Linked DNA regions of Elephas maximus indicus. The protein of the gene in region 1 interacts with the protein of each later gene in a pairwise test. Links are inferred from orthologs where the notes say so. Each region holds a gene or a part of one and is shown on either strand. Other genes may lie near its edges.

What was found.
Region 2: the proteins of DMRTB1 (region 1) and VASP interact in a two-hybrid assay, tested with the Homo sapiens proteins (2 studies listed by BioGRID and IntAct). The two-hybrid records come from large-scale screens. The link is inferred for Elephas maximus indicus from reciprocal best matches to the Homo sapiens genes DMRTB1 and VASP.

Annotation. Positions count from the first base shown.
Region 1 is NC_064821.1:96,788,946-96,792,690, forward strand, and holds the start of DMRTB1 (doublesex- and mab-3-related transcription factor B1), read left to right. Parts: upstream 1-879; coding exon 880-1,456; intron 1,457-3,745.
Region 2 is NC_064829.1:104,187,945-104,191,689, reverse strand, and holds the start of VASP (vasodilator-stimulated phosphoprotein), read left to right. Parts: upstream 1-1,559; 5' UTR 1,560-1,885; coding exon 1,886-1,890; intron 1,891-3,745. UniProt on the Homo sapiens protein: Ena/VASP proteins are actin-associated proteins involved in a range of processes dependent on cytoskeleton remodeling and cell polarity such as axon guidance, lamellipodial and filopodial dynamics, platelet activation and cell migration.

The sequences.
Region 1 (3,745 bases):
AAAGTTAACAGTCCACCTTTCCGAAATGCATCCTCTTAACAAGATGAGGAGTCTTGGTGGCTGCAGTAGTTAAAGCGCTCAGCTGCTAACCAAAACGTAGGCAGTTGGACCCACCAGCCGCTCTGTGGGAGAAAGATGTTGCACTCCGCTTCCCTGAAGATTTACAGCCTTGGAAACCCTATGGGGAGTTTCTACTCTGTCCTATAGGGTCGCTATGAGTCCAATCGATTCCACAGCAATGGGTTTCGTTTGTATTAGCAACTCTTAAACGGGAATTACTGTTAAGGGCACACGCCCTTGAGCAACCATCACACTGCGCTGAGCTCTTGAGAATATTCTGGAAGCATCACCATGAACGGCTGCTTCCCTGCAGGGAAGAGAAATAAAATTCAGCAGAAGCGGCAGCTTTTGGGAGGAGATACACGGTTTGCCTTTTAGAACGCTTTTCTACTGGAATGGGTTTACAGAGAGCAACATTCCTGTGGAGCTTTAAATCTGTGGACCGTTGAAAATCGCCCCGCCTTTTTTGAAGTTACAAAATACCTTCTATCTATGGGGAGGCGGGAATAAAAAGTTTGGAGAATTAAACGCCTAAGACTTCAGCTCACCCAAATGACATACATGCAATAGCATTCCATGAAGAACTTATTCAACCCAATCCTGTGCACCTAATTACCCAATGCACAGAAATTCAGACTCTCCAAATTTTGCACCCCCCCAAAAAGGAGGGAAAATGCAAGGGTGTTGGCTGCAGTTCCGGGACATACTGAGAACCACTTTGTTACAAGTGTATCCAACGTCCCCAGCACCAAGGACTTGTGGGGCGCTGCTCATTCCTATTCCACTTGCTCTGCGGCTCCCGGAGGTGGTGGTTGTGTAATGAAGACAGACCCTACCAAGCTGGTCGAGAAGATGATTCGCACCCCCAAGTGCTCCCGGTGTCGGAACCATGGCTATCTGGTGCCAGTCAAGGGCCACTCGGGCAACTGCCGCTGGAAGCAGTGCGCCTGTGAGAAATGCTACCTGATCAGCGAGCGCCAGAAGATAATGGCTGCGCAGAAAGTGCTCAAGAGACAGGCGTCCGAGGAGGAGCAGGAGGCGACCCTGGGCGCTCAGGGGCCTAAGCCGGCCACTGGGGCCGCGGCCGCCATCCCGGGCTCAAGCCTCCGTCGGCTGTCGCCCGCCGCTTCGGGGGACTCGGAGCCCAGACCCCACGGCCGTGCGATCTCTGGCTTCCCCGAGAGGCCCCCGCGGGGCCCCAGTCCGGGCCCGAGCGCCTTCCACCCGGTTGTGAGCGGCCGCAGCCACATGGGGCCGAGCGAAGGAGCGGCAGCTGCGATGTCCAGTTCCATGGGGCCCCAGCTGGAGGCAGAGGCCGCGGCCAGGGGATGTCCCGGCCGCCTGGAGCTGCGCAGGCCTCTGCGGCCTGTGTCCAGCCCACCGTTCGCCGACCTCGGTAAGATTCCTAGGCCCCGTGCTGCCTCAGCCCCACCATCCGTTCGTCTCAGGAGTGTAGTCTTCCTGTTCCCCGAGCTGGCGGTCCAGGCTCGCCGGGATCCTGCAGGGATGGGCCGTGGGGTTGGGAAGGTGGTGGAGGTGGGGAAATGCCTTCCAAGGGTAACCTTCGTTTGAGAAGCCTTCCTCAGAACATGGATTGGGTTCAATGCGTTTTTGCAAAAAGGGCAATAGAGCGATAAAAAGGTATGGGTGGTCCGGAGGGCTTTTAATATTCAGCTACAGGGTTTGCCTTGCCATTTTCCAAGAAAAAATGGCCCCCACGCCAAGTTGGCGTTGGCTCCTCCTCTGCTGAGACTTCCGGAGCTGGTGCACCCCTTCCCGCCAGTGGACTGGAGGCTCCTCCCCCAGCGCTTCCCTGTGGTGGCCTGCTCAACTAGGACTGCGTCTGCGCATCCTTCCCTGCCCTCCCTTTGTGTAGGCTGGAGGCTCCTCCCAGAGGACCGCATCTCGGCCGCACCCTGTCCAGTGCGCCTGCGCGCTCCTTCCCGCCCTTTTCTTGGCCTGGAAGCTCCTCCCCCAGGACGTCACTGTAGGTGGGCCGGCTCAAATATAACCGCGCCTCCAGGCAGTTCCCGTCCTTCCTGGGACCTGGGGGCTCCTCCAAGACAATGCGCCTGCGCGCCCCTTCCCGCCTTTTTCTTGGGCTGGCAGCTCCTCCGACAGGGCTCCACTCTAGGTGGGCCGGCTCAAATATAACCGCGCCTCCAGGGGGTTCCCTCCCTTCCTGGGACCTGGGGGCTCCTCCAAGACAATGCCCTGTGCACCTCTTCCCGCCCTTTTCCTGGATGTGGCGGGAATGAAGTTGCTTTCCTGGTGCAGCCTCTGCTTACACAGGAGGGGCATAGTTGATTTGAGAGCTTTTTGCCGCTTTTTTTTCTCTTCCACATTGTGCTTAAATTGCATTGTTATGTCTTGCTGTTTTCAGTAGTAAAGTACAATTTTAATCACACAGATTTTGTGTGTGTGCTTTAGGTGAAAGTTTAAAGAGCAAGTTAGTCTCTCATCCAAAAAATGATACACAAATTGCTTTGCGGCATTGGTTGAAATCCCGCATTGTGTCACGCACTCTCCTCCTTTTCAGTTTTCACCCCCAGATCACTTTCCATTTGTCCAGTGTTGTTTGGGGGCAGGTGTTGCCCATTTGATCTCATATTCTTGATCTAAGAATAACGTTCCTTATGTGTGTTGTTTGTTTTATAGGCCTGCCTAGTCTTTGGCTGTGGACTCCTGGGGGCAGTGGTTAAGAGCTCAGCTGCTAACCAAAAAAAGTCAGCTGTTCAAATCCACCAGCCACCCCTTGGAAACCCTGTGGGGCAGTTCTTTCTACTCTGTCCTGTAGAGTAGCTATGAGTCAGAATCGACTCCAAGGCAGTGGATTTGGTTTTTGTTTGTTTGTTTTTAATCTTTGGACGTAAGGTGAACTTCAGAAGTGGCTTAAATTCTGAGTTAGAAGGGTGTCCAGGGACCGTAGTCTCCTGGTTCCTCCAGTCTCTGTCAAATCAGCAAGTCTAGTCTTTTTTTTGAGAATTTGATCTTTGGTTCTACATTTTTCTCCTGTTCCGTTCAGGACTCTCTGTTGTAATCCCAGTCAGAGCAGTTGGTTGTGGTAGCCGGACACCATCTAGTTTTTCTGGTCTCTGGATTGTGCTGGCTTTGGTTTATGTGGTGCATTAGTCCTTTGGACTAATTGCCCCCTTGAGTCTTTAGTTTTTTTCACTCTCCTTTGCTCCTGACTAGAAGAGACCGGTAGTTGTATCTTAGATGGCCGCTTGCTAGCTTTCAAGACCCCAGAAATACTCTCCAAGTAGAGTGTAGAACATTTTCTTTATGAACTATGATATGTCAGTTGATGTAGATGTCCCCTGAGTCTATGGTCCTTTGCCTTTGAGCCTGAGAACTTCATCCTGTAAGGTGTCATGTCTAAGAGGTTTCCCTGACAGTGCTACTTGTGTGCTCTATCGTCTGTATTAATATATGAGGAGCACCTACTGAAATTTAGAAATTTCTACCACTGAACCTGTATCTGCCAGTGGGTGCAATTCACATACAGATTTGAGACTTTAAAAAAATAAGCCTTTAGGTGTGGACATGTGTTTTCTTGGTATTTTCCCTATGGCAGTGTGGTAGAGAGCGCACAGGTCTGAGTCAGGAGGCTGGGTGGCAGGCTCCTTATCTATCAGTTTCTCTCCTCTGGATGCTCTCAAAAGGCCATTTTGACTTCTAGGAC
Region 2 (3,745 bases), on another chromosome or scaffold:
AGAATGGTTTCTATATTTTTAAACGGTTGTAAAGAAAAATATGTGAAAGCGGACTTACGTGGCCCCCAAAGTCTACAAGATTTACTATTTGGATCTTTACAGAAAAAGTCTGCTGACCCCTGGCACCCAGAAATACTCACAGATGGAAAAGCAGAGACCCAGAGAGGAGAAAGGACTTGACCAAGATCCCACGGAACTGAGGTCCTAATTCGATTGCTGCTGAGTCTGGCAGGGCTGGGTGAAGCCTAGAAATCGATCAAGTATAACCCTGCCCCCAAAGAACTCCCACCTGGAGAAGACACACGGAAGAACAATTACAAGCTAGGTGGATCAGGGTTCAGGGTATCCACAGTGGGGTGGAGAAGGGGAGGGGGTTTACTCGGTGCTTCAGAGAATTCCTTTCAGGGCTTGGCCTAGAAGGTGAGGTGCTCCCCAGGTGAAGGAGGGCAGCAACAGGGCATCGTCGAATCTGCTGGGTCCTGAGAAATGTTGGTTTTACACTCACACCCTGGGGCTCCGGCAAGAGGGCCATAGCCCAGATACGTTCCCTGCCTCCAGGCCTCAGTCTACCCATTTGCACGCATCTTAGTGAAGATTTCTCAGGCTCCAGGCCCTCCTGTAAGCACTTCACCCGGACAAGGTGGCACTCTCCGGGGGGCGTGGCCGCGCGGGGTGACGTCACTTGGGCGGGGCCTGCGGGACTCGCTGCGGAAGCCTCGGAAGAGGTCCGGGCGCTGCGTTCTGCCTTGAGCGGGCGCTTGGGAAAGGGGGACCCGAGGAAGGGACACCTGGGCGTCTCCCCGCCTCCGGGCCCCCTAGATTGCTGGGATGATCCCTCCATCCTCCGCAGGAGAAACTGAGTCATGGCGGGGCGTGCGTGGGGAGGGGCCCACACAGGAGCCCGGCGTCGCATCCCTACCCCAGGCTAGCGCCGCTCCCCCCACCCCCGCCCGTCTCCCCAGCCCCCACCCCCCTCCTCACCCCACACCCCGACCCTGCGGCTGTGAGTCATAGGCCGGCCGCGCCCCCTCGGACCACTTCCTCCTCACCTTCCCGGGGCGGGCGGTTAGAAGGGTGGGACCCTAACCACCCATCCCCCTCCTGTACGGGATAGGGGACTCACCCCCCCAGTAACCCCTCTCATAAACAGAGAAGACAGAGACGTTGGGGGCTCCGAAGGTGGGGTTTAAGGGACAAAATTTGAGGGAATCTGTGTTTACCCAGAGGGTCCGAGCCCTCGCCCCCCAAAATTTAGCAACATGGAAAGAAATGGAGAAGTCAATGGGGAGGACGAGAGGGGAAAAATTGTGCCCGTTTCGATCGCCCTAAGAATTTCCATACTGGGGGAGACATAGGGATCGTGAAAGGATCCCTTTCCCTTCTACCGAGCTACCCCCCCAATTTTTGGGTGACCCCCGGAGTGCACCCCTATGCACTCACATTGAGGACAAGGAAAATAGCGGAAGTCAACGGTGCCGCGTTGCCCTTTTAAGCGCCCTCCACCCCCAGCCTTGAGGCAGCCGCGGCCCCTTTAAGGCGCGGGGCATTGTGGGTGCGGGGAGTGGAATTTTGGAACGAAATGTAGCGAAGAGAAGTACAGTAGTAAGAGTAACATTGTAGCCGCTGCCGGCCGAGGGGCGCGCCGGGGAGGGGACGCCGCACCCCCTTTCTGCCGTAGGGACCCCCATCAAACCTCAGGGGGAGAAGGCGACCGAGGACCCGCTTCGGCCCCGGCCACATTCCCCCCAGGAAGCCGGACTCTATGGGGCGGGACCCTGGGGGAGACTGAGCAGAACCTGGAGCCAGCCCCGAACCCCTGAACAGCGAGCCAGGGGCGCCCCGGGAGCCTTCACCCCGTGGGCGCGCCACCCGCCAGTGAGCAGCCATGAGGTGAGCCGCGAACTGCAGCCCGACCCTTCCCCGCCCGGCGCGGGCTCCTCGCCCTGCCTTTGTCCCCCCTCCCCCAGCTCGCTTGGGGCTGGAATTTGGGGACCGGGTGCTAGGAGCCTTAGATTTGGGGCCGAATCCCCTTGGACGAGCTTCAAATACTGGCCACCTCCCCCAGACTCCTAAGGTTCGGGGTGATGCCGGTGAGGTTCTCCTGGGAGCCCTCGCATTTGGGGGCGCTCCGGCGGACTCCCGAATTTTAAAGACTTTTTCAGGGGACCTCTAAGTTGGCGAATTCTCTCCGCAGAGATGCCAGAATTTAGGCAGACCCCAGAATCCCCCCAAACCTCAACTCGGGGTATGGGAGGGATCGGCTTGGGGACTCTGGAGCCTGGGAGAGAGGCAAACACGCAGACCCCTGTTAGCGGGGTCCCCTTTTACGTGGCGCTGGAAAAGTCTCCCCAGTTGGAACCGCGCTTCCTAACTTCAGGGGTACGTCTTAATCCTCTAAATTTTGGGGGGGAGGGACACTAAGATCCTCTTGTGGAGGAGGTCAGTTCGGACGGACTGATGGACCCAGACGCAACCTCGAGGGTCTGGCTGGGACTCCCCTCCCGCGCCTCTCTGCACCCACAGGGTTCCCGAAACAGGCCGTGCCTAGGACAGAGCGAGCGCTCTGTGCGGAGGGCGGTTCCCCGCCCTCAGCCAGCAGGGCGGCCCTTCTCCCCCACCTGCGCGGCCCTAGAGAGGGAGGGGGCGCGGCAGCTGGGGGAAGGGGGGCCTTTGTCTTTCTGACTCACCTGTCGAGACAGCTGGTGTGGGGGGCGGGCAAAGAGCGCGTTGGGCTGGCAGCTCTCCTCACCCCGGTCCCTTACCTACCCCCCCTCTCCCCGCAGCCTTGCCGGGCCCTCGGGAGCTGTGGGGTTGGAGGAAGGGGCGCAAGAAAGCTTCAAGGTCATAGCCTTCTCCCCCTGGGACCTAAGCTTCCCAGAGAGTTCCAGTTATCTTCCCAAGAATTTAATCCTGAGGGTGAGGGGCCAAGGCACCCAGGGATTGTGTCTTCATGAGGCCTCCCCTAAAACTCCCGGGCTCACCTGAGGGTGGGGCTAGTGCGGGAGCTGGGCTAGGGGAAGGGACTCACAACCCTCCATAATCTCTCCATTGGGGCTGGAGCCTGACAATACTATCTCCCTTCCTCCACTCTCTCTGGGACTTCCTGCCCCAAAGCCCCCAGCCTAAGGGGGAAGGCCCCAGGGGACTGCTGGGGATTAACCCCCTGGTGCCCGCACACTCCCACTTCCCCTACACCCCTGCCTCTGATATTCGGGTGGCATTCCTTTCTATGACCATTAGAGAACTCTCTTCCCGATTGTTCCTTCTGCTGGGAAAGGGGTTGTTGGAAAATTCGGAGCAAGGGGGCACCCACAGACATCTTCGAGACTTCCTGTCTAGCTTTCTCCCTGTTATAGCAGTATCCCTTGAGGTCTGCCCTGGAGAGGGGGCAGTTTGCGGTCTTCCTTCACCCTCTTCCCCTGGGACGGGACGCTGCTCTCCCACTGCCCCCCCCAGCCCCGCCTCTTGTCCCCCCCAGGCGCGTTTCCGGTCCCAAGGAAGGCGGATGGCGGATGTCCGAGTTAGTGCTGCCTCACTCGCTGTGAGACCGTAAAAGGGCAGGAGCAGCTTCTGGGCCGGCCTCCCGCCCTACCCCCAGCCCCGAGGCCCTGGCCCTCCCACAGGGCCCCCTCTTGTGATGGCTGTGGCCAAACCTCCCACCTCCTGGGGGGTGGGCAGAAGTTGATCCTATCCCACTAGAGGGTCACTCCCACCTCCTGCAGGGTCTCCCTTTCTGGGCTCTGCC